Linked DNA regions of Ovis aries. The protein of the gene in region 4 purifies or fractionates together with the protein of the main gene of each other region. This does not show direct contact. Links are inferred from orthologs where the notes say so. Each region holds a gene or a part of one and is shown on either strand. Other genes may lie near its edges.

Region 1 (4,273 bases), about 22 Mb from region 4:
TTTACCACAGAAACAAAATACGCTAACAATTACCAGGTATGGTCCACACAATTTTCATAAGGTGACACACACACATGAAACTATTGTCATCTAATCCTGTCCCATCTTTCGTGATCAACTCCTGACCCTAACTAACGTGTCAAGCAGAAGCAGACGTTTGTTTTAATCTTTTGTCTTTATAAGAAGCATATCCTTCTTTAGCAAATTATCAAAAGGACTGTTTTTCTAACGCTAACTCAATATTCAGTTACCTTTATTTGTGCTTAGTATACGTTTTCAACATCAACATGCTACTTTTAATGCTGTGATTTGAGCTACACAGCCTCCTCTGGCCAGTATGAACCACAGGACTGGAGAGCAGCTGTTCCACCTGGGACTGTTTACATTCCTCTCTTCAGTATTTATTCCTGAGGTCTCCGTTTCACTGGTCATAGTTTTGGTTGGATGTGAAGTGAAACAAATTCTAAACGGATGATAGGAGAAGGTAGTCTGAGGGGGGAAAAAATCCCCTGAAAAATAGGGACTCTACATGTTAGAAAATAACAAACGTCAAAATTCTTTCAGTGAATGAAAATTATCCGTAAAAATGTAATAAGCCTTGGTACTCCAGCTGGGTTCAGCTCTGATCTTAGGCTGTGGCTCCTGAGACAGCCCGAAGTGTTCAAAGAAGCCAGACTTCAGTATGTTTCTAAGGTGTACTGTGTAGTGCTGTTTTTATCAAAGCTCTGCAGCTCCTTGGGGGCAAAACAATAGCCACAACTTAATTTCCAGGTCAGTCTTAACACTGACACCCCCATCTTGAAAGCATATTTGTAAAACTTAAGAAACAAAAATAAAACCAAAAGACAAGATTCTGCAGTCACAAGTACTTTAATTTTTAAAAACAAATCACTCATTTAAAAATAAACAAACGGCACCATTCTACTCTCAAAGTTGGTAACAAGTAAAAGAAATTAGGAGATTCTGTCTCATAGGTAACGTGCTCGGAGTCAGGACTAGACAATCTCAACTACTACACACGCTAAAGACACTACTCTCCGAAGGAAGAGTCAACTGTCACAACTTTTTGACTTTAAAAGGTTGAACAACCCAAACAGTTTCAACAGCTTTATTTTCAAAATCAACAGTACAGAGCAAAATTTCTACATTAAAAAAATTCCGTACAGTACCAAATAGAGGTATTACAATATAGTTTTCCACCACAAAATTGTAGTACCAATCCAGCGACTCCTCGACTTCTTGAACTGTCAACACACTGCCCCCCCTGTTTAAGTGGCTGTACCTGAAAACCAAGGTATGCAATTCCTTAGTCGGCATCGAATGACACCGACAAGGATCTGGGGGAAACGAGACGAAGTCTTGTGTCTGAGCCCAACTTCCACGACCAAGGACAGCCACAGCTACGACACAGTGTCTGTAAGCTGTCAACATTTAAACACTGAAGCCCCCCCCTCAAGGAAAACATCTCCCGGTTAAGAGTTCACTCCACTTGAGTTCGGTGATGGATAAGAAAGAACCCTTTTTCTAAACGGAGATCTGTTAACATCTACTTAGACTGGGTCTTGTCTCCCGCAGGTTGAGAAACCAGCAATCAGGCGAACTTACATTTTTATTAGGAAAAGAAATAATAAAGTTACACAGGCTTTAGAAGAGCCACGGAGTTCCCTTCAAAATCTGCAACATGTTCTCAAGGATCAAAGAAAAAGTCAGGAGGAGCAGGAGTTGACAACCCTCCGATTAAGTAGGACTCGGAGGAATGGATGCAAAAGTCCCAGAAAGAGGACGTAGGACGCAAGTCGGCTCTGGGCTGCTCGCCGGCCTCGACCTTCCGCTGCAGGACGCCCGCCACCCCGCCCGGCCTCTCGGCGGGTCCACGTGGGCCGCGCAGCCCCGCCAGCCTGCGGGCCGCCGAGAGAGCACCGCCACCCGAGCGCCCGGAACCTGCGCTCCCGGCGCCGGCGGCGCGCGAAGGCCGAGCCGGCCCCAGAGCGCCACCCAGCGGCCCGCCTAGAGGCCTGCAGGCAGGGCCTCCGCGGCCCGGCCGCCGCACCCCCCGCCGCCCGCCCGCTCCCTCTCCGGATGCACAAGGCCCAGCCCAAGCGCTCCGACCACAAAATGGCTGCCGGCAGCCTCGTCACGTGACCCCTTTGTGCCTTTCGGGCGCCCGAACTCCGCGGGCCCCGCGTCCGAGGGGCCAGGGTCGGCGGGTGGCCCGAGAGGAGGCCTCGCCGGGCCGCGGCGGCCGGGGGGCGAGGCCGGGGGCCCCAGGGTAAAGGCCCGGCCGGCGACGGGAGTCGGCGGCGGAGAGAAGATGGCGGCCATTTTGTGTGGGTCTGCGCTCCGCCGCCGCCGCAGGCAGCGGAGGGAGCGGGGCCCGGCGGCGGGTCGGACAGGGGAGTTAACACGTACCGACTCCTCTTCCTTCTCCATTCCGGTGGGCATCTGCGGCACGGCCCGGTTTATCGAGGCGTATTCGTGCAGGTCGGGCAGATCCTCACAGCGGAAAACCGGCAGCGGCTTCGAGGCGTCTAGCGCCCGCGCCCGAAACGACAGTTTACTCATCTCAGGCGCAGCAGATACCTCTCCGCTCTGGGGAAACGGCCCCGGCCAGCGGGATCATGGAGAACCGGGGGTTCGGTCCCCACTCGCCCACCGCTGCCGGGGACTGGAGGGGCGGAGCGCGGGGCCCGCCGTCCGGGCACTCAGAGCCGCCTGGAGGTGGGAGGCCGAGACGCTCCGCTCCTCTCTCGCTCGCTCTCCTCAATACGCCATGGCCAACATGGCGGACATTAAAACTCCACTGTGCGCTCTTCAGCCAACCCCAGCCATTCCCCACACTGCATCGCGCAGCGGCGCGGGCACGCGGGGGGGGGGGGCCGCGGGCTCGAGGCCGGGCGCCGGCACGGAGCGCGCGTCCCGCCAACCCCCGGCGCCCGGCCCCGCTCCCCCGCGCCCGGCAGCTCGGCCCCCGCCCCCGCGGTCGCGGGCGGACCGGCCGGGTCTGGGCGGCGCGCGGGGCACTCGGACGCCGGGGACCACGGCCGGCCTCCCGCCCTGCGCGCCCGCCGTCCCGCGCTCGCTCCCGCCGGCGCCGTTGGCTGACAGGCGAGGGTGCAGCGAAGCTACAGCACCCCCTCGGCGCGGCGACGGCCCCGGGCACCTGTCAGCGCTGGCGGCCGGGCCCTGGGTGAGGGAGCGGGCGCCCCCAGCCCCGGCCGGCGCGGCGTCTCAAGTTTTATAACGAAACTACAGACGCCATTCGGGCCGGGATGCTACTTTGAGTGAACTTTTTAACCGGCCATTATCTTTACGTGTAAGGAAACTCTGGACGGTATTTGCTCGTCTCCGCTTGGATCCTGGGTCAGTTCCCATCATTGCGCTCAGTGTAAACAAGAGGCGTCCTACGTTTGCTCCAACTAGGATTTTGGTGGTTTTATTTATTTTTTCATCCTGCATTTTTATCGACCCACAGTCACGTTTATTGTCATCGAAGTAAAGGGAATAATAATTATCGGGCACCGTAACCCTTTACGGAAAAAATATAAAAGCAAGACCTAGTTCACATTTTGAGAGCCGGATGATTTTTCTGCACTGGAAGAAAATGTTGCTTCAACGTAACCATGGGTTGACACTTATTTTTACCTTTACCTTATTTAACCATGGGTTGACACTTGTCCTCTAAAAAACTTTTTACAATTATTTGAAGACTTATAGCACTCCTGCCAACCGCCCCCCCCAAAATGTTTTTTTAGAAAGAAAAACTATTAGATGAGTATTTAGATGGATATGATGGCTACCATGTGGTTTATATTACACATGAAAATGAGTATCCAGAGAGCCCTCTCCAGCAGAATATTTTAAAAACCCGAAAGACTGTTGCGGTGGATTTAATAGGTTTGGCAGTAAAATTTCAAATATTCACCGAGATCCAAAAATGCTCTGTACCTCCGCTTTTCTCCCCAGGGGACACATAATAAAAATAATCACTTCTTAAATAATGGGTTGGATGGGAACTGTTATTAGCTTAAGGCACAGAAGCAAGGTGTTATCTTTCAGTCTGGTTTAGCTACCACCCGGATGGGGTGGGGAGAAGGAAAGGAGAAAACGGGATTGCAGTTCTCCAAAATTATCATCAAACTCAAATACTGACAGCTCACTTCTGTGTAGCAGACATTCACCTACAAGTCCTGTACTAAGAGGATGCATTGACTGACTCAACCAGCAAACGTTTTTTTGAGACCTCAGGGGCCCTCTGAGTACCTGCTAATTATTC
Region 2 (3,512 bases), on a different chromosome or scaffold from region 4:
ATGCATAATTTTTCCTAGTCCTTTTTTTCTGTGTAATCATTTTTTATAAACTGGTATTATAAATAGAAATATACATTCAAAATATATGGAAAAGTGAGTCACTACATTAAATTTGCATGTATCGATCCATCCCTTTCCCCTGCACAGTAATAGAAAATACTATTTTGCCTTGAACTTCATATTTGACAGTGAAATGCCACTAAAGTATTTACCAAAAAGTCCATCTAGTCAAATTGTGAAACAAAATGAACCAAGTGAAAACTTTACAGTTCCTTTAGAAAAAAATTACAAGAATTTCATTTCCTAGCTATGAATCTTTAACTTTTTAGACACAAAGTTGGATTTATTTTTACAAGATACAAAATGTAAACATGGCAAAATAAATAGTTAAAACAAGTGATGCAGGATCCCATTTCATGCTCATGATCCCATTAAAGAATTATTTTTTAAAATCCATTCAGTTGCAAATTCAAGTGCAAAAGCATGATGATGAATATCTACTATTCAAGTAACAGAAATAATATTGATGATACAAATAAACTATTTTACAAGGTAGTGATTTTCCCAATTTTACAAAATATACATCATATATCGATTCAACATCCGATATACTATAGTCCATTTAGGTCCATTGTTATCCTCTGTGATCCACAGAGTTTCGCCTTTTGCATTCAGCTGGAATATGAATGACTGCACACCATCAGCACAGGTCAAAGCCACATGTTTTAGGTTATGTCACTTCCATAGCTACTGTTGTCTCTGCTATTCCATTTAAACCCAATCTTTCTGGTTCATGGTTCTCTCTATAATAAGGCAAAGAGTAAAATAAACATTAATACTCTCTAGAATATGATGTTTATCATTTAGTATTTACAGATGTGTTTTATATAATTACAATTAAACATACTGCACAAGAACATCTCCCATTTTTACAGTTTCCATACAGGAATAAGGAAAAGTTTTCTTCAGTTAAGAAATCCTATGAACTTGATTATAATTATTTACTTAGGAAAAAGAGCAACTTAACAGTATTTCAGTAGCAGTCAATGATAAATTACTTATCAAACATATAATATAGGACAATTCAAGCTTTTTACAATAGACAGAGCAGATGATGCTCATACATAATAATAACTGGAAGCACAACATTACTTAAATTACTTTCCACTACAGTTTAATTTTACAGCTTATGGTCATGTAGTTATTAATCTATGCAGATCAATTTTTTTGATTCACTGTTCGCATGCATTAGTGTCACAGAAAGAAAAAAGCAATCTGAAATACATTATCATAGATTTAGTTAATTCCAGGATATTCTCAGTTCTAAAACATACACAAAATAATTTACTTTCCCTTTGGGTGTAATGTTAAAAAAATACAAATTTGATTTGAAAACTAAAGCTCTGAAGGCTAACAATAACTCTAGCCTGCCAGACTGCCTAAACTACAAAGAAGAAATATAAGAATAACTAAAGCTGATGTATTTTTTCAGTTTGATGGTTCCCAAGTTGATGTGGACTATCCTCCCCCCTTTTTTAAAGTAACAGTTCTGATTGGCATTTAAACATTCTACTAGGGACCTTAAAGATCTAAGTCATACAGCTTTAGACTAAGCAGATATTCAATATCTGTTGAAAAGCAAGTCAATCAGCTGACAAGATATCTATGGTTTGAGCAGTAAAAGAAAAAAAGGAAAAGTCTTCTCCTCCCACAGGATCTGAGCCAGCAGAAAGAGACAGAATGATACTTGAAATACACACACACACACACACACCTGGCTATGCTGCTGATGGCACTGCTAGGAGTAACCTTTGGCACTCTGTCCATACTGGCAGCAACTGTGGCGAGTTTTAAGGCTGTTGGCGATGGTGCTGAAGTCCGTGTATTGATATGCACATTGACTGGAGAAACAACACTGACGTTATTGAGGTGCACTGCATTTGTCAGGCAGGAATTGTTCATGGGAAGTGTTTGAGGACTGCTTGTGCACAATGCTGGGATTAAGTGGTTTGTAGTGGTGTGGCCAACTGTCCTTACAAGCTGTACAGCTGAAATCCCTGGGCTGGATGATAAAGCCATATTGGTGGAGTATAATGTTTTAGAGGTTCCTGAAGGAGAAGGAAAAAAAACTGTTCAACTCATGAGACATTAATTAAACTCTTTAAAAAATTAGGAGTTTAAAATGCAAACATTTGTAATCTAATTAAATCTCTGAAGAGAGTTTCTAATCAATAACCACAACATATTCACCTGTACAACCCCAAAGATACCCTCTTTCTGCTAGCCTGCATAAAACAGTTTTGCAAAGTATTCTGCTGCCTTCATATATGGAAACTGTGTAACAGGACAGAGAGGTCTTCTTGGAGACTGAGGGCAGGTGGAGATGAAAATTGGACTTCCATTAGAATTTGCACAAGGAAGAACATCAGTAAGGAAGGGCAATCACAATCATAGGTATATGGAATAGCAAGTGGAAAATCCTAGGGTCTGAGCAGAAGTTAAAGGCTGATAGGAAGAACAAAGTACTCTCGGTAGTTTGACGCAGAAATAGTTTCACAGCAATACTGTACTTCACAAGGAGTCACAGAAAGCAGGGCTGTGAGTGTGTAAGACTGGGAAGGTAAATCCAATTTCCAACTTCTGACAGATCATCTGGACTATTAATATAATTCTCCTCTTTAAGAATGTACAAATGATTCAACAATGATGGTTAGCAATTGGCTTGATGTGACTGGTAAGATGTGAGGCAAATGATAGTATGTAGATAAAACTAGGCAGGGTGGACTGTTACACAGGTAGGTATCAACTGGGCATGGGAGGACCCAGGGAGCAGGCTTGATGTGACTTTTAGAAACATCAAGCTATTCCACCACACAGAGCCATAGAAATTATGGAGTCCTAACTGACTTCTTGTACAATGTTTCCCCTCTGGATTTAAAAATCAACCCCCCCCCCCCCCCCCCCCCGCCAAAAATAAATAAATAAATAAAAAACCAAATCTCAAATCACTGAGTTGCAACTTTGAACTAGTAAGTATCACTTGAAACGACAGGCTTACCTGAAGGCTGGACAACACCGTTTATGTTGCTGTGGCCAGTGTTCTGTTCCTTGGCTACCTCACTGCGACTTGGAACAGGTGCACTGACCACTGCAGATGCAGCAAAATGGGCGCTGGCTGAGTCAAGTGTTTTAGACATACAGTCAGAGGTGCTTGAGCCCTATAAAATGAACAAAGTTAAACTCTCAACTTTTCAGATGTGAGTTCACAAACACTTAAAAAAGTGAGATAACCCAAGAGGCTGTTGCCTTTTTCATTCTGAATAGTTAAAAGTTTTTATGTTAAGAGATCTAGGACTTCATAGACTATTTTCATCTGTGAAATAAGAAAGTTACTAAACTGAGAAGCAACTATTTATGAGAAAGAGCTAGGGCAATAAACAATCCAAATCTTTATGCCCTATTCATTTTTCCAAGTGTTAATGCCTTTAAAAATACTTGACAATCGTTACTAT
Region 3 (4,147 bases), on a different chromosome or scaffold from region 4:
TCCAACACGATACTGGAAGCTGACTTTGCGAAGAGGTAAGAAGGCTGTTTTACTTTTTTGTTTGGACAAGGGTGCCCCAATTCACAGGGAGAATGATTTTGAGAAGTTTTTATGATTAGAGATGGGAAGGGGGGCTGTGGAATGATAAAAGTAATGAAGTATCGAAGATGGACCGGTAGTATACCTGTTTATTTCTGTCAAGGAAAGGAGACTGAAGCAGAGGAGTACCGTGTAAGATAGACACAGGAGCAATGAGTAGGCCCAGAAACCAGTTATGGAAAGTGTGAAAATCTGGATGAACTGTGCATTAGATCTAAAGCGGAGTGTTAGGTCTGATCAGGAAAAAAACACTGGAATAAAAGAGCTACCAATTTTAAAAATTAAACTACAAACATTCATTTTATAAGCAAGTTAGTTAAAAATACAGTTTACTAAGTTAATTACACACAAAATGTGGGTGGGAGGTTTCGTTGCCTTTTACAGTAAACCTTTTGGGAAATGTGACCCACTATAAATACTGGTCATACAGTAGCAGCTCAAACACAAAATCATACACTTATTTTTGTCAGTTTTAAATACTTTATATGTGAAACAGGCTTTAAGATATACTCCTCTACATGAACAAAGTGATGTTTATTCTGAATATCTAAATCATACATGAATATGCTGTGGTTATATACTTGAAAAATGACTTAAAATTTTTTTAATGAGAAAAGGTTTTACTGAAATGCCTTTTCTTTATCCCAGAAGTTCCTGTTGCCCATTTGCTAGAAAGTTATGTAACTCTAGGCTGGTTAATCTTTTCTATGCCTTATTTTCTTCTTTAGTAATATGGGGAAAAGTAGAACCACCTCCCATGGCTGTTGTGGATTAACTGACAATGCATGTATTAAATACAATGCATTACAAGCCTCTGTCATGAAGAACAGTTCCTGGTACACAGGATGCACTCAATAAATGTTGACTGTTGCAATTATTGGTATCCATTTCTACCTTACTCACATTAAAATACTCAGTGGACAACCTTTAGGTCCTTAGATGAGTGAACCTGAGAGTCAAAACAATCAGCAGGGACTTCCCCATAGACAGCAGCCCACCAGGCTCGCCCCTCCCTGGGATTCTCCAGGCAAGAACACTGGAGAGGGACTTCCCTAGTGGTCCAGTAATTAAGACTCTGTGGTTCCCACGCAGGGGGCTTGGTTCTGTCCCTGATCTGGAGACTAAGATCCCACAGGCTGTATGGTGAGGCCAAAAACGAAACAAAACAAAAAATAGAGTCTGCAGCCTCCACGAGCACGTATACTCAGCTTTTTTGTCAGAATTACATCTTCAGGTGGGGAAAAAGTAAATCATGAAGATCCACTAGGCTTTCTCCAAAGTAACAATGGAAAACTGATTCTTACACTTCAGAAATCAAAACCAAAAACATATATGGAGAAGGAGAGGGTGAGGGCCAGCGTGTCACCTGAGCAGAAACTCAAGCTTCACTTCAAAACTACTAAAAACTTTGAAAAGCTTATTTTCATCTCCTACCTATAATATTCCATCCGCTCAGAAAACAGTATCCTTACTGAACACAGTAACAAAAGCACGACTTTGAGTTTCTTTCTTCTCTAATTCATCAAAAACATGAATCATATACATCAATGCTTCATCTAAGCATCTCGAAAAAACGGAGGCTCCAATTCGGTAGATTTAGAGTGGGGCTTGAGATTTTACATTTCTAAAGAGCTTGCAGGTGATGCTGCTGCTGCTGCTCCTTGGATCATACTTTTAGTAGTAAGTGCAGCATTACCGCCGTTTAATCTTCACAACCACCCCAATGGGTAGGAATTATCATTCTACAAACGACGAACCTGAAGTTGGCAAAAGTTAAGTAACTTACCCAAGGCCAATGAGCTTACTAAGTGGTGAGGCTGATATTACAACCCAGGCCCATGGTAATCTTTCACTACACAGGAGCCCACCCATCTTTAAGCAACCTTAAATTGCATATGTTCCTAAATTACGCCGGTGCAGAGTCGCCCACGAATAAGTCCGGAGCATCCACAGTCAACAAATAGGGAGAAGTTATTGAAAGGCGTGAGGCTGCGTGAGCGCGGATGGAGAAGGAGGCTGTGTCCTGAGTGGCCACGACTCCTCCAATCAGTTCCACTCCTCGCGGCTCGCTGTGCCACCTCCGAGACGCCGCGGAAACCCTCCAGCCACGCCGACGAACTGCTGGGACCTCCCAACTTTAAACGGGCGCGCACACCGCGACAGAGCCGGCTGGGAGAGAGGTGACCCTGCGGCCAGTCACTCCAGCCGCGGCTCTCCGGGCCTGGCCCGCGAGTGGAGCTGCCCGACCAGCCCCGGACCGCGCGCAGCCCCAAAAGTCGGCTCCTCGGCGGCCCGAGGCTGGAAGGGGCCGTAGGGGGCGGCGACTCCCGGCGCCTGTAGCGCTCGCCGAGCCGGGTGGGCTCCGGAGGCGGGCAGAGCGCGGGGCGGGGATAGGGCGGGGAGGCCGGGGTCCCCAGGGGGAGACCGGAAGGGCCGCCGGGAAGGGGAGGGCTGGGGGCGGCGGTTACAAACCCCACAAGCTAAAAAGGCGCGCTCTCCCGACCGACCGCACTCACCTCCCCCGTATACCCCGCCGCTCATGGTTGCTGTCGACGAGACTTCTACTCGTAAAGGCCACCTGGCGAAATGACTGCAACGGCTGCGACTGCGGGTCTGCAGAAGCGCTAGCCCCCGACTCCCTTAACTTCCACCACCACCCCCCTCAGGCAACAAAGCGGCGGCCACACACACCCGGAACGCAGTCACACTTGCTGTCTCCTGCTATCGGCCAATCACAAGAGGCCCGGCTACACTTCAACCAATAAAAATAAGGCTGTGCTACAGCCTTGTCGCGGCACAGCCAGTTTAGCCAATCGAAGGCAGCCATAGGGGCGGGGAGAGAGGAAAGCGACGGAAGGAGGGAAGGAGTTGGGTTGCGGAACCGGGGAGGCGGGGCTTCTTTAGTGGGAGGGAAAGTGGGGCGGAGGGAGCTGGAGGGGGAGGAGGAAGGCTGGAGGCAACAGTCTGGGGCGGGCTCAGGATGTAGCTGGGAGCGGAGGAGAGGTGGGAATCCGGTAGAGCAAGCTAAGCCTCTGAAAAAGAAGTCTGGAATTTGAGAAAGTGTCTCCACCAGGAGTACCCGTGGTTTGGGCTTGTAGTGAATGAGGGTTGGTGTTTTTTTGTTTTTTGTTTTTATTTTTTTCAGAAAAAGTATTTTCAACTAACTGAAAAAATTGAATGTTATCCTCCACTTTGGGGTAGAGGGCATCAGTAAACCAGACAAACCGATAAGACCCTGGAATTTTAAAAGTGGTTACTAATAATTAAAAGAAGGAGATGACACAGTATCCCAGTTAACTTTAGTAGCGCTTAAAATGTGTCATCAATTCCTTTTATCCTGTGAGGCAGGTGTAATACAATGTAATCAGTCCTCACCTGAGCGAGCACCTAATCCTAAACACATCTCGGAACGGTCTGTTCTTAGTCCCCTGTGTCTACCAACCCAGTCAGATCACCGTTGTCCCTCTCCCAGGATTACTACAACAATTTGTCCCTTTGCCTCTTAGCAGGCAGCTTGATCTATAAAAACTCCCAAATCACGGTCATGTTGTAAATCCTTGAGGTTAATAGCCGTCCTTAAATTAGTTTGTCTAGAGTCTAGACATATAGGTAGTTTTTAAGAACAATTGATTAACTCCATCAATCTCAGTGCCACAGAGTGGCAGAAAGTGATTGTAGGATAGGGAACAAGGCTAGTGAGAAAACCCTTTACTATTCACTTAGTGTAATCTCGGTTGTTGTTCACTCACTAAATCGTGTTTGATTCTTTGTAACTGCATGGACTGCAGCCCACCAGGCTTCCCTGTCCCTCACCATCTCCTAGAGTTTGCTCAAACTCATGTTCATCCAGTCAGTGAAGTGAAATGAAGTTGCTCAGTTGTGTCCGACTCTCTGGGACCCCATGGACTGTAGCCTACCAGACTCCTCCGTCCATGGGATTTTCCAGGCAAGAGCACTGGAGTGGGTTGCCATTTCCTTCTGCATCACCAGATGGTGATGCCATCCAACCATCTCATTCTCTGGCCTTCCCTTCTCCTCCTGCCTTCAA
Region 4 (3,961 bases):
AGCAGGGACCCTGAAGTGTCTGGGAAGTGTAGGGAGATTAATGATGAGGGCCACTGTCTGTTAGTGCTTTCTGTGTGACAGAGCCCGAGTGAAGTGGCTTTGGGCTGTGCTCCATTCCACCTCACAGCAAGCCCTGAGGGGAGCCCCACTTGTGGGTCAGAGAGAGGAAAGAAGCACAGGCCCAGCAAAGTCACAATGTCCCTCCACATCGTGGCTCCAGGACAGCCGGTGGCACTGGGTCACTGAAATCCTCCCTGGGCCACATGTCCCCACTCTGTGGGGACTGGCATCACCAGCAGCGCTCTTCACACAAGGGAGGACAAGACTGAGTCCCCACTGTTCCGGGGGTGAGGCTGGCCAGAGCGGTTCCGAATGCCGGCTAAGAAGCGCGAGCGTGTGCCCAGGGCACCCCAGGATAAGGCGCCGCCGTTAGTTGCACTGCAAGGAGGACACCTGCGGCCTGGAGAGGCTCAGCGTTTTGCCTGGCTCACACGGCTGGCAAGCCGCAGAGCCAGAAAGGGACCCGGAAGGCCGACCCTATGTCTACACCCAGGGGGAGACGAAGAGCAAGAGCGCTCCTCGCCTTGGGTAACCGCCCGGAGCACCGCGTGGGCGTGGCCTGACGGAGAAGGGCCGGGGAGAAGCCCTCGGGGGCGGGGATGGGGCGGGGCGGGGCGGGGAGGAGCCGGCGGTCTTGATTGGGCGCAGCTTTGAGCTTGTCACCTGACTGCCCAGGCCGGCCGCCCCATTGGCCCCGCCCCTCCCGACCAGGGTTAACCCCCAGGGCCCAATGCTGGTCACCCTGGAGGCCCCAGGCGGGAAGGCTGTACCCCGACGTCCCTGCCCCGGTGTGCAGGAGCCTCTCTGTGCAGCGCTCAGGCCAAGGGTCAGCTGGAGGCAGTGGAAGCCCTTGGAGCCCCCACTCGCAGGAACTGTAGGTCGCCTGTTCTTTTTCTTCTTTGCTTCTTACTGAGGTGCAGCTTGCAATCCCGCCATCGTAAGCGCAGAGTTCAGCGGGGTTTACCCCGAGCTGTGCAGCTACGGGCACAATCTAATTTAGGGCATTTCCATCCATCTACGCAAACCCACTCCTTCGCCTGATCCGCCTGCTCTGCCGGCGCTGCGCCGCGAGACCGTGCCGCCTGGGGGCGCGGCGACCCAGCGCTCAGCTGCGCCTGCGCCTGCGCCGCGGGAGAGTCCGAGAGCGAGCCCGTCGAGCGCGCGCCCACGCCGCGAGTGCGCCTGCGCGGAGCTCGTGGCCGTGCCCGCTCCCGCCCGGGGCTCGTCGCTGGGCGGCGGGGCCATGGGGGAGGCCGAGGTGGGCGGCGGCGGCGCGGCCGGCGACAAGGGCCCTGGGGAGGCTGCCACCAGCCCGGCCGAGGAGACGGTGGTGTGGAGCCCCGAGGTGGAGGTGTGCCTCTTCCACGCCATGCTGGGCCACAAGCCCGTCGGTGAGCAGAGCGCCGCGCCGGGGCGGCCCACCCGCGTGGGGGCGGGGCGGCCGGCAACGGTCGGGGACGCGCGCTGGGCGGGGCCTCCTGCGCTTGCACCCCGCCGACCGTGCCCTCACCTGCGCACCCTGCCCCCACCTGCGCACCCCATCCATGCTTCCTCCAGCAGTCCCCCACTCCTGCCCACGCTGCCCCCTTCTATACCCTACCCCCACCCGACTCTGCCCCCTTCCTGTGCCCAGCCACCCATCCCGGCTGACTCCAGCCCTCACGTGCACCCCCACCCCTGTGCCCTCGTTACACCTCCGCTGCACACCCCTGCCTTTTCCTCTCCCACCTCTCTCCGCTGCACCTCCTACCTCTTCCACCCTCCACCTTTGCCTCCCTACACCCTTGCAACCACTGCCCGCTCTCTCCCCCTTGCCCCCTACCTCTTCGCTACCCTACCAGCTGGCCTACCCCTCCCCCACAAGCCGACCCCTTCCTTCTGCAGGGGTGAACCGGCACTTCCACATGATCTGTATCCGAGACAAGTTCAGCCAGAACATCGGTCGGCAGGTCCCATCCAAGGTCATCTGGGACCACCTGAGCACCATGTATGACATGCAGGCACTGGTGAGCTGGACCCCCGCAGACAGAGCTGCTGGCAGGGAGCCCCCTCCACACCGCCTACCCTGCCTTTGTCCCCACCCCCCCCACCCCCCACCACCAACCACGTCCTACCTTGACATCCAGGATGTCCCACAGGTGACCAGTTGTTAAACAAGATAGCTCTGGGTAGTTTTATGAAAACACAAGCTTGGTGACAGTAGCTAGTTATTGCACTGAATCTACCTTAGATTTTGGGGGGGAGTCGAGGTTCAGTTAAGATCTTTCCAGGAGATAACTAGGGAGCTGAGGCCTGTGTGGGAGGGGGCTCTTAGGTTGTCAGTCCTGTGGAAAACTCCCGAGTGCTATAAGCAGGGAGGTGACCGGGTCTGAGTCACATTGAGATGAACATGGTGGTTTCTGTGAGAACTAGGCCAACCCTCAGGGAAGACCACCCTCAGGGAACCCCCAGATGCTGGGTCTGAGGGAGAGCAGGTCAACTTGGTAACCAGGACAGCAGAAAAGACAGGTGGGTGTTCCCTGCAGAGGAACAGCAGGAGTCAGGGCCCTGTGGCAGCAGGCGTCAGGACTCGGGGCTGCACCCGCACCCCACCCTGTGCCCCTCCCTCCTCCCTCCCTCCCACCCTGAGCTTCTAAGTGAAGCTCAGACCCTCTTGTGTCCTTAACCCTCACCACCACAAGTTCCCTGTTGGCCTTGGGAAAGTCGTTTGCATCTCCTTGTCCCAAGGCAGAGAAGGAAGAGAAATGACAGTACTGCTCTGACCCCGAGCCTGCAGTTAGCACCCAGGAACTCGAGGTCAAGCTGTTGAACTGAAGCAGGCCGCCCGAAGGGCTGTGCCCACCCGTTGGGGCACCACTCCCCCAGAATTCCAGTGTTCAGCAGCTTGGCAGGACCCCCCATGCTTGTCATGTTGGGGTGTCACCTGGCCCCCAGACGCTTCCTGCATCTCCACTCCAGGCTGGGGCCCAAAGCTGGACACAGAGACAAGTATGGGAGGGCCCCTGTCCTGAGGGGCCTTTGGTGCGGTAGACAGGACAGATGGCTCTCAAGTGCAGACGCTGGCTCAGAGGGTGCTGAGGCAGTGATGCCCCGTACAGGGTACGGTGATACTCTGCTGTGGGGGCCACCAGGGAGGCTCTCAGTCCAGGACAGGTGGCCCTTCCTTCCTCAGTTCCTTGGACCCCAGCACCGCTATAGAGCTGATGCCATGGTCACCTGGGACCTTGTAAATATGGGTCTGTGGATCTCACCCCACAGGATGACCGTGGGCCCAGGAGCTCTCGGGGTTTGTGAAGCTCCCAGCTGGCAGGTGGCACACTTACTCACTGACCACCTGGCTTGCAGCTCAGCTCCCAAGTTGGGGACTAGAAGCCCTGTCTCCTGAATCCCCTCCCAACCCAGAGACCCTTCCCACCAGCTCACCTTTCCCTTTGTCTGGTGGTGGTGTTTCTGGCTCTCTGTCCCTCCAGGCCTACGTGATCTGGGGAACAAGTGGAGCCTGGCGAGCATTCCTGGTGGCTCCTCCATTTTGCTTTGTTTGCCTGGTTTCCACGAGAGAGAACAAAGGCCTCAGGCCCCACGCCTGCCCACTGCAGCCCCTCGGGACAGCCATCTGTGCTCATTGGTCACTCCTGAGTTGGCTCTTACATCTCTAGTCACATTTTCTTTTAAATGTGATATTTAAAATCATATTTTCTTCTTTGCTTCTAAAAAAAAAAACACCCTTGTTTGTCATCAGCACGAGTCTGAGATTCTTCCGTTCCCAAATCCAGAGAGGAACTTCATCCTTCCAGAAGAAATCATTCAAGAAGTCCGAGAAGGTATGACTCGGGCAAGGGCAGATTTGGGAATGGGAAAAGGTGTCAGGGTGAAGGTCACGAGCCTCAGAGAGTGAGGGTCA
Region 5 (3,940 bases), on a different chromosome or scaffold from region 4:
CTGGTTTTCTCTTTGAAAAGTTATTTGAAAAATACATAGAATTGTAGAAGTGTTACATGTGATCAGTAATGGTGCTTTCATAAACTCATTTGAATGGTTAAAGTAGTAGAGATAAACCCTACAAATGCAAATTTGTTTATTAAGTAATTTTAACACTTAAGACAACTAAAAGGTAACTTTAGATACGGAGAGAAAAAAAAAAGTCGGGGGCGGGGAGACCAAATGTTAAAAATGAGACTATGTCCTGGTAGAAAAAAAGATTGGAAAACACACACAGTCCTACTTTCTGGTACTTAAAAGAAACACAAATTAAAACCACAATACAATACCATTTCACACTCAGCAGTATAGCTATAATCAAAAAGACTAAATGTTTGCCAAGCATGCAGAAAAACTGGGTCCCTCATTTATTGCTGGTGGGAATGTAAAACGGTGAGGCCACTTTTTAGTTTGAAAGCAGTTCCTCAAAAAGATAAATATGAGTTATAATATGATCCATTGAGAGTCCCTTGGACTGAAAGGAAATCAAACCAGTCCACCCTAAAGGAAATCAGTCCTGAATATTCACTGGAAGGACTGATGTTGAAACTGAAACTCCAATATTTTGGCCACCTGATTTGAAGAGCTGACTCATTTGAAAAGACCTGATGCTGGGAAAGATTGAAGGCGGGAGAAGGGGACAACAGAGGATGAGATGGTTGGATGGTATCACCAACTCAATGGACATGAGTCTGAGTAAACTCCAGGAATTGGTAATGGACAGGGAAGCCTGGCGTGCTGCAGTCCATGGGGTAGCAGAGTTGGACACGACTGAGTGACTGAACTCAACTATGATCCAGCAATTCCACTCTTTCAAGAGAAATGAAAACATGCCTGCACAAAAGCTTGTACACAAATGTTCACAGCGGCATTAATATTCAGCAAAGTAAAAACCACTCAAATGTTCATCAACAAATGAACAAAATGTGGTAAACCCATACAAGGAACTACAATTTCATCAAAACAAAGAATAAAGTACTGATGCATACTCCAGCATGAACCCTGAAAGCATTATGCTAAGCCCCAGAGTACCACAAAGTATATGATTCCATCTATATGAAATGATCAGAATAAGCTATAGAGAGACAGAAAGTAGATGAGTGTTTGGTGAGGGAGGCGGAAATATTAGAGAGGCGAAGAGATTTGCAGAGTGATTCCTTAAGGGTAAGAGGTTTCTTTCAAGTGTATTTAAAATGTAAAATTAGACTCTAGCATTGGTCCTATGTAAATTATGTGAATTTAATAAATTAAATATTAATAAGTTTTAATAATTTTAATAAATTAAGTTAAATCCTGTGAATATACTGGGAATTCTGTGAATATAATTTTGTGATATGTAATTGCATCTCAAGAAGGCTGTTAACTACTGCTTAAACGTTAACTACTGGAATCCACCGGTACTTACATGAAGGGGAAAAAAAAAAAACGGTTTCTAATACCCAAGGAAGCAGATATCCTAAATACCTTACCAATTTTGATCTCCACTCCTCATGACAGAAGACGCTAAACACAGCTTCTCTCGGATGGACCATGGCTCTGTAGGGCCAGTACTCAGCAGCTTATGTTCTGAAAGATTTAGAGACAACCACTGAGGCACTAAGTCCCAAAGGGAGGATTAAAAGTCTAATACAAAAATGTCCTAACCTGTAAGGACAAAGTGAGCCACTATCACCAAATCTTGATTTTCACCTCTCTAGTAAACACCACCACTAGGATGGTGCCTATTCATTGCTTGAGAACTGCACTTGATTATCTGGCAAAACATTTTTCTGTAAATGCCATGGTTACTCTACCATATTTAAAAAAAAAAAAGTCAAGTTAATTTAGGGCAGTTCTTCCAAAAAACCCAGTTTTAAGAATGCTTTATTCCAGGAACTTCCCTGGTGGTCCAGTGGTTAAGTCTGTGCCTTTTCCCTAGAGGGGACGTGGGTCCCATGATCCTGCCAACCACCAACCTCCCAGCTCTGCCCTGGCCAAAAAAAAAAGAATGCTTTATTCCAAAGTGGACCCCAGGCCTTATTTCCCAGGATTCCGAGCGGCCAACCCCCGCTACTGCCCCGCCTCCTTCTTAGCATAAACTTGTTTACTTCTCTCAGTTACACCCATTCCCCTCAAGCTGTTAGGCCTACAAGACCTTCTCAGTCCCTGAAACAGAGGGAAATGGCTGAGATACAGGAAATGTATTTTTTCCCTAGTGGCAGAAAAAGCTCACGATTAACATGTCCCATCTCTCTGTGAGTACAGGCCTCACAAATGTTCGTCAGAAAATGACTCTTTGGGACCCCGGCCACTCCATATGGCTCACAGCATCTCTGTCCGCACGCCGGAGCCTCTAAGGCACCTTTTTTCCCTCTCACCCCGCAGAGCTGACAAACATACAAGAATTTTCTTAGGCTGCTTTTCTCAAAGCTCCGTGGCCTTGCACACCACAACTAGAGAGGAGCACTCCTCGCGGCAACTAGAGAACAGTCCACGGAAAGCGACGAAGACCCAGCGCAGCCAATAAATAAAAATTCTAAAAGCAAAAAAACTCCGCGGCCTTACTTAAGTGTAAGACTTCACGCTTCTGGGCCCTCAACCCCCAACCGCTGGCCTTAACAGCGCCGCTCGAGCCCAAGTCTCTGATGGCTCTGGGCTCTCAGGTGAATCACTGCTTCTACTCCCTAAGAGTGTGACAGATCTGTTGCCTGGCCTTGGTTCTACAAACACCTTCCACGCAAGAGCAAGGCAGATACTTACTGCCCGTTCCCGTCGCCATCTTGGCCCCGACGTCTCCAACCCCCGAAGGAAGATTTCTGGCCGAATTGAAGCCCAAGGAATTCTGGGAGATAGCGTTCCAGCGTTTATTCGCGGTGCGTCCTGGGAAATGTAGTCCCCTCTCCCCACCCTAGGATGAACCAGCGCCCCAAATCAGGTATTCTTGTGAGTTCCTGAGAAGGAATGTGCGAAAGAACAGAGAATGGTGGCTGAAGCCTTAGGATTTCCTTCAGGCTTCTTAGAAAAGAAATGCCTAGGGTTCAAGAAAAACTGATAAACAGAAGTTCCAGTTGACCCAGCTCCAAAATCCAACAGTTGGTAACCCGTCCCACATTTGAGCAGAGAGGTCAAGCCTAAGAAAACCGTTTCCGGGTTTCGCCCGCCCCCTTGCACTGATTGGTAGGTGCAAGGTTCGCTATCTGATTGGCCGAACGAACTCAGCGCGCAATTTAAAACATTGTATCAGAAACAAAGGTGCGCTTCGTGGGTGGGGTTGTCCTCTCAAGCTGCCGAAAGCCCAGTTTCGGCTGTGGGGTGTGAGTGAGCCGGTCCCGTAGAAGTGTGGCGTCTTTAGGTAAGTGTGCGGCTGAACTTGAGTCAAGTTGGGGCACCTTTGCTCTGGCGGATTAGGCATTCAGAAAGCGGAACTGCCGCCATTTCTGTTTTTCTTAATAATTCTGTCCTCACCGTGGGCCTAGAAGCGAGGTATAGAGAATGAGCCTAGGGCTTCTGACACGGCTGAGGGAGGCTCCCTACTTGGAACTTGGCCTTATGTTTTCGGAGTTAGATATCTGTTCATTCCTGTTCGCGGTCCGAAATGCTGCCTCAGATTGGATTAAATGATTAACTCTTTCTCTCTTTCCCGTTTGCTGGTAGTCGAAAGGAGAAGGGAGTAGGAATTCAGGCAGCGAGACTAGGTTGCCCTGGGGCAAGGGAATTGTTTCTTACCTAGAAAAGAGGGCGAATTCTTCAGCCCCTTTTATCCCTTAAGGTTCTCCTCCCTACCCACTCTTGTCTCTTTTTAGACCTAAACTGCCCCTGCTGCCATGTCGCAAGGGATCCTTTCTCCACCAGCTGGCTTGCTGTCCGATGAGGAGGTCGTAGTCTCCCCCATGTTTGAGTCCACAGCTGCAGATTTGGGATC

The links.
Region 1: the proteins of MRGBP (region 4) and EPC1 purify together in Homo sapiens (affinity purification with mass spectrometry; 6 studies listed by BioGRID and IntAct, counting the BioPlex papers as one, with this or other methods). This does not show direct contact. The link is inferred for Ovis aries from reciprocal best matches to the Homo sapiens genes MRGBP and EPC1.
Region 2: the proteins of MRGBP (region 4) and EPC2 purify together in Homo sapiens (co-immunoprecipitation; 4 studies listed by BioGRID and IntAct, counting the BioPlex papers as one, with this or other methods). This does not show direct contact. The link is inferred for Ovis aries from reciprocal best matches to the Homo sapiens genes MRGBP and EPC2.
Region 3: the proteins of MRGBP (region 4) and ACTL6A purify together in Homo sapiens (co-immunoprecipitation; 4 studies listed by BioGRID and IntAct, with this or other methods). This does not show direct contact. The link is inferred for Ovis aries from reciprocal best matches to the Homo sapiens genes MRGBP and ACTL6A.
Region 5: the proteins of MRGBP (region 4) and BRD8 purify together in Homo sapiens (affinity purification with mass spectrometry; 10 studies listed by BioGRID and IntAct, counting the BioPlex papers as one, with this or other methods). This does not show direct contact. The link is inferred for Ovis aries from reciprocal best matches to the Homo sapiens genes MRGBP and BRD8.

Annotation. Positions count from the first base shown.
Region 1 is NC_056066.1:32,530,182-32,534,454, reverse strand, and holds the start of EPC1 (enhancer of polycomb homolog 1), read right to left. Parts: upstream 2,805-4,273; 5' UTR 2,563-2,804; coding exon 2,410-2,562; intron 1-2,409. UniProt on the Homo sapiens protein: Component of the NuA4 histone acetyltransferase (HAT) complex, a multiprotein complex involved in transcriptional activation of select genes principally by acetylation of nucleosomal histones H4 and H2A.
Region 2 is NC_056055.1:160,774,398-160,777,909, forward strand, and holds part of EPC2 (enhancer of polycomb homolog 2), read right to left. Parts: intron 3,219-3,512; coding exon 3,059-3,218; intron 2,109-3,058; coding exon 1,648-2,108; 3' UTR 804-1,647; coding exon of another isoform or gene 731-803; 3' UTR 1-730. UniProt on the Homo sapiens protein: May play a role in transcription or DNA repair.
Region 3 is NC_056054.1:208,341,936-208,346,082, forward strand, and holds the start of ACTL6A (actin-like protein 6A), read right to left. Parts: upstream 2,810-4,147; 5' UTR 2,641-2,809; coding exon 2,616-2,640; intron 1-2,615.
Region 4 is NC_056066.1:54,281,696-54,285,656, reverse strand, and holds the start of MRGBP (MRG/MORF4L-binding protein), read left to right. Parts: upstream 1-1,149; 5' UTR 1,150-1,303; coding exon 1,304-1,451; intron 1,452-1,944; coding exon 1,945-2,066; intron 2,067-3,799; coding exon 3,800-3,881; intron 3,882-3,961.
Region 5 is NC_056058.1:47,270,502-47,274,441, forward strand, and holds the start of BRD8 (bromodomain-containing protein 8), read right to left. Parts: upstream 2,807-3,940; 5' UTR 2,798-2,806; coding exon 2,779-2,797; intron 1,606-2,778; coding exon 1,509-1,605; intron 1-1,508. Other genes in the region: kinesin-like protein KIF20A, read left to right, coding at 3,843-3,940. UniProt on the Homo sapiens protein: May act as a coactivator during transcriptional activation by hormone-activated nuclear receptors (NR). Isoform 2 stimulates transcriptional activation by AR/DHTR, ESR1/NR3A1, RXRA/NR2B1 and THRB/ERBA2.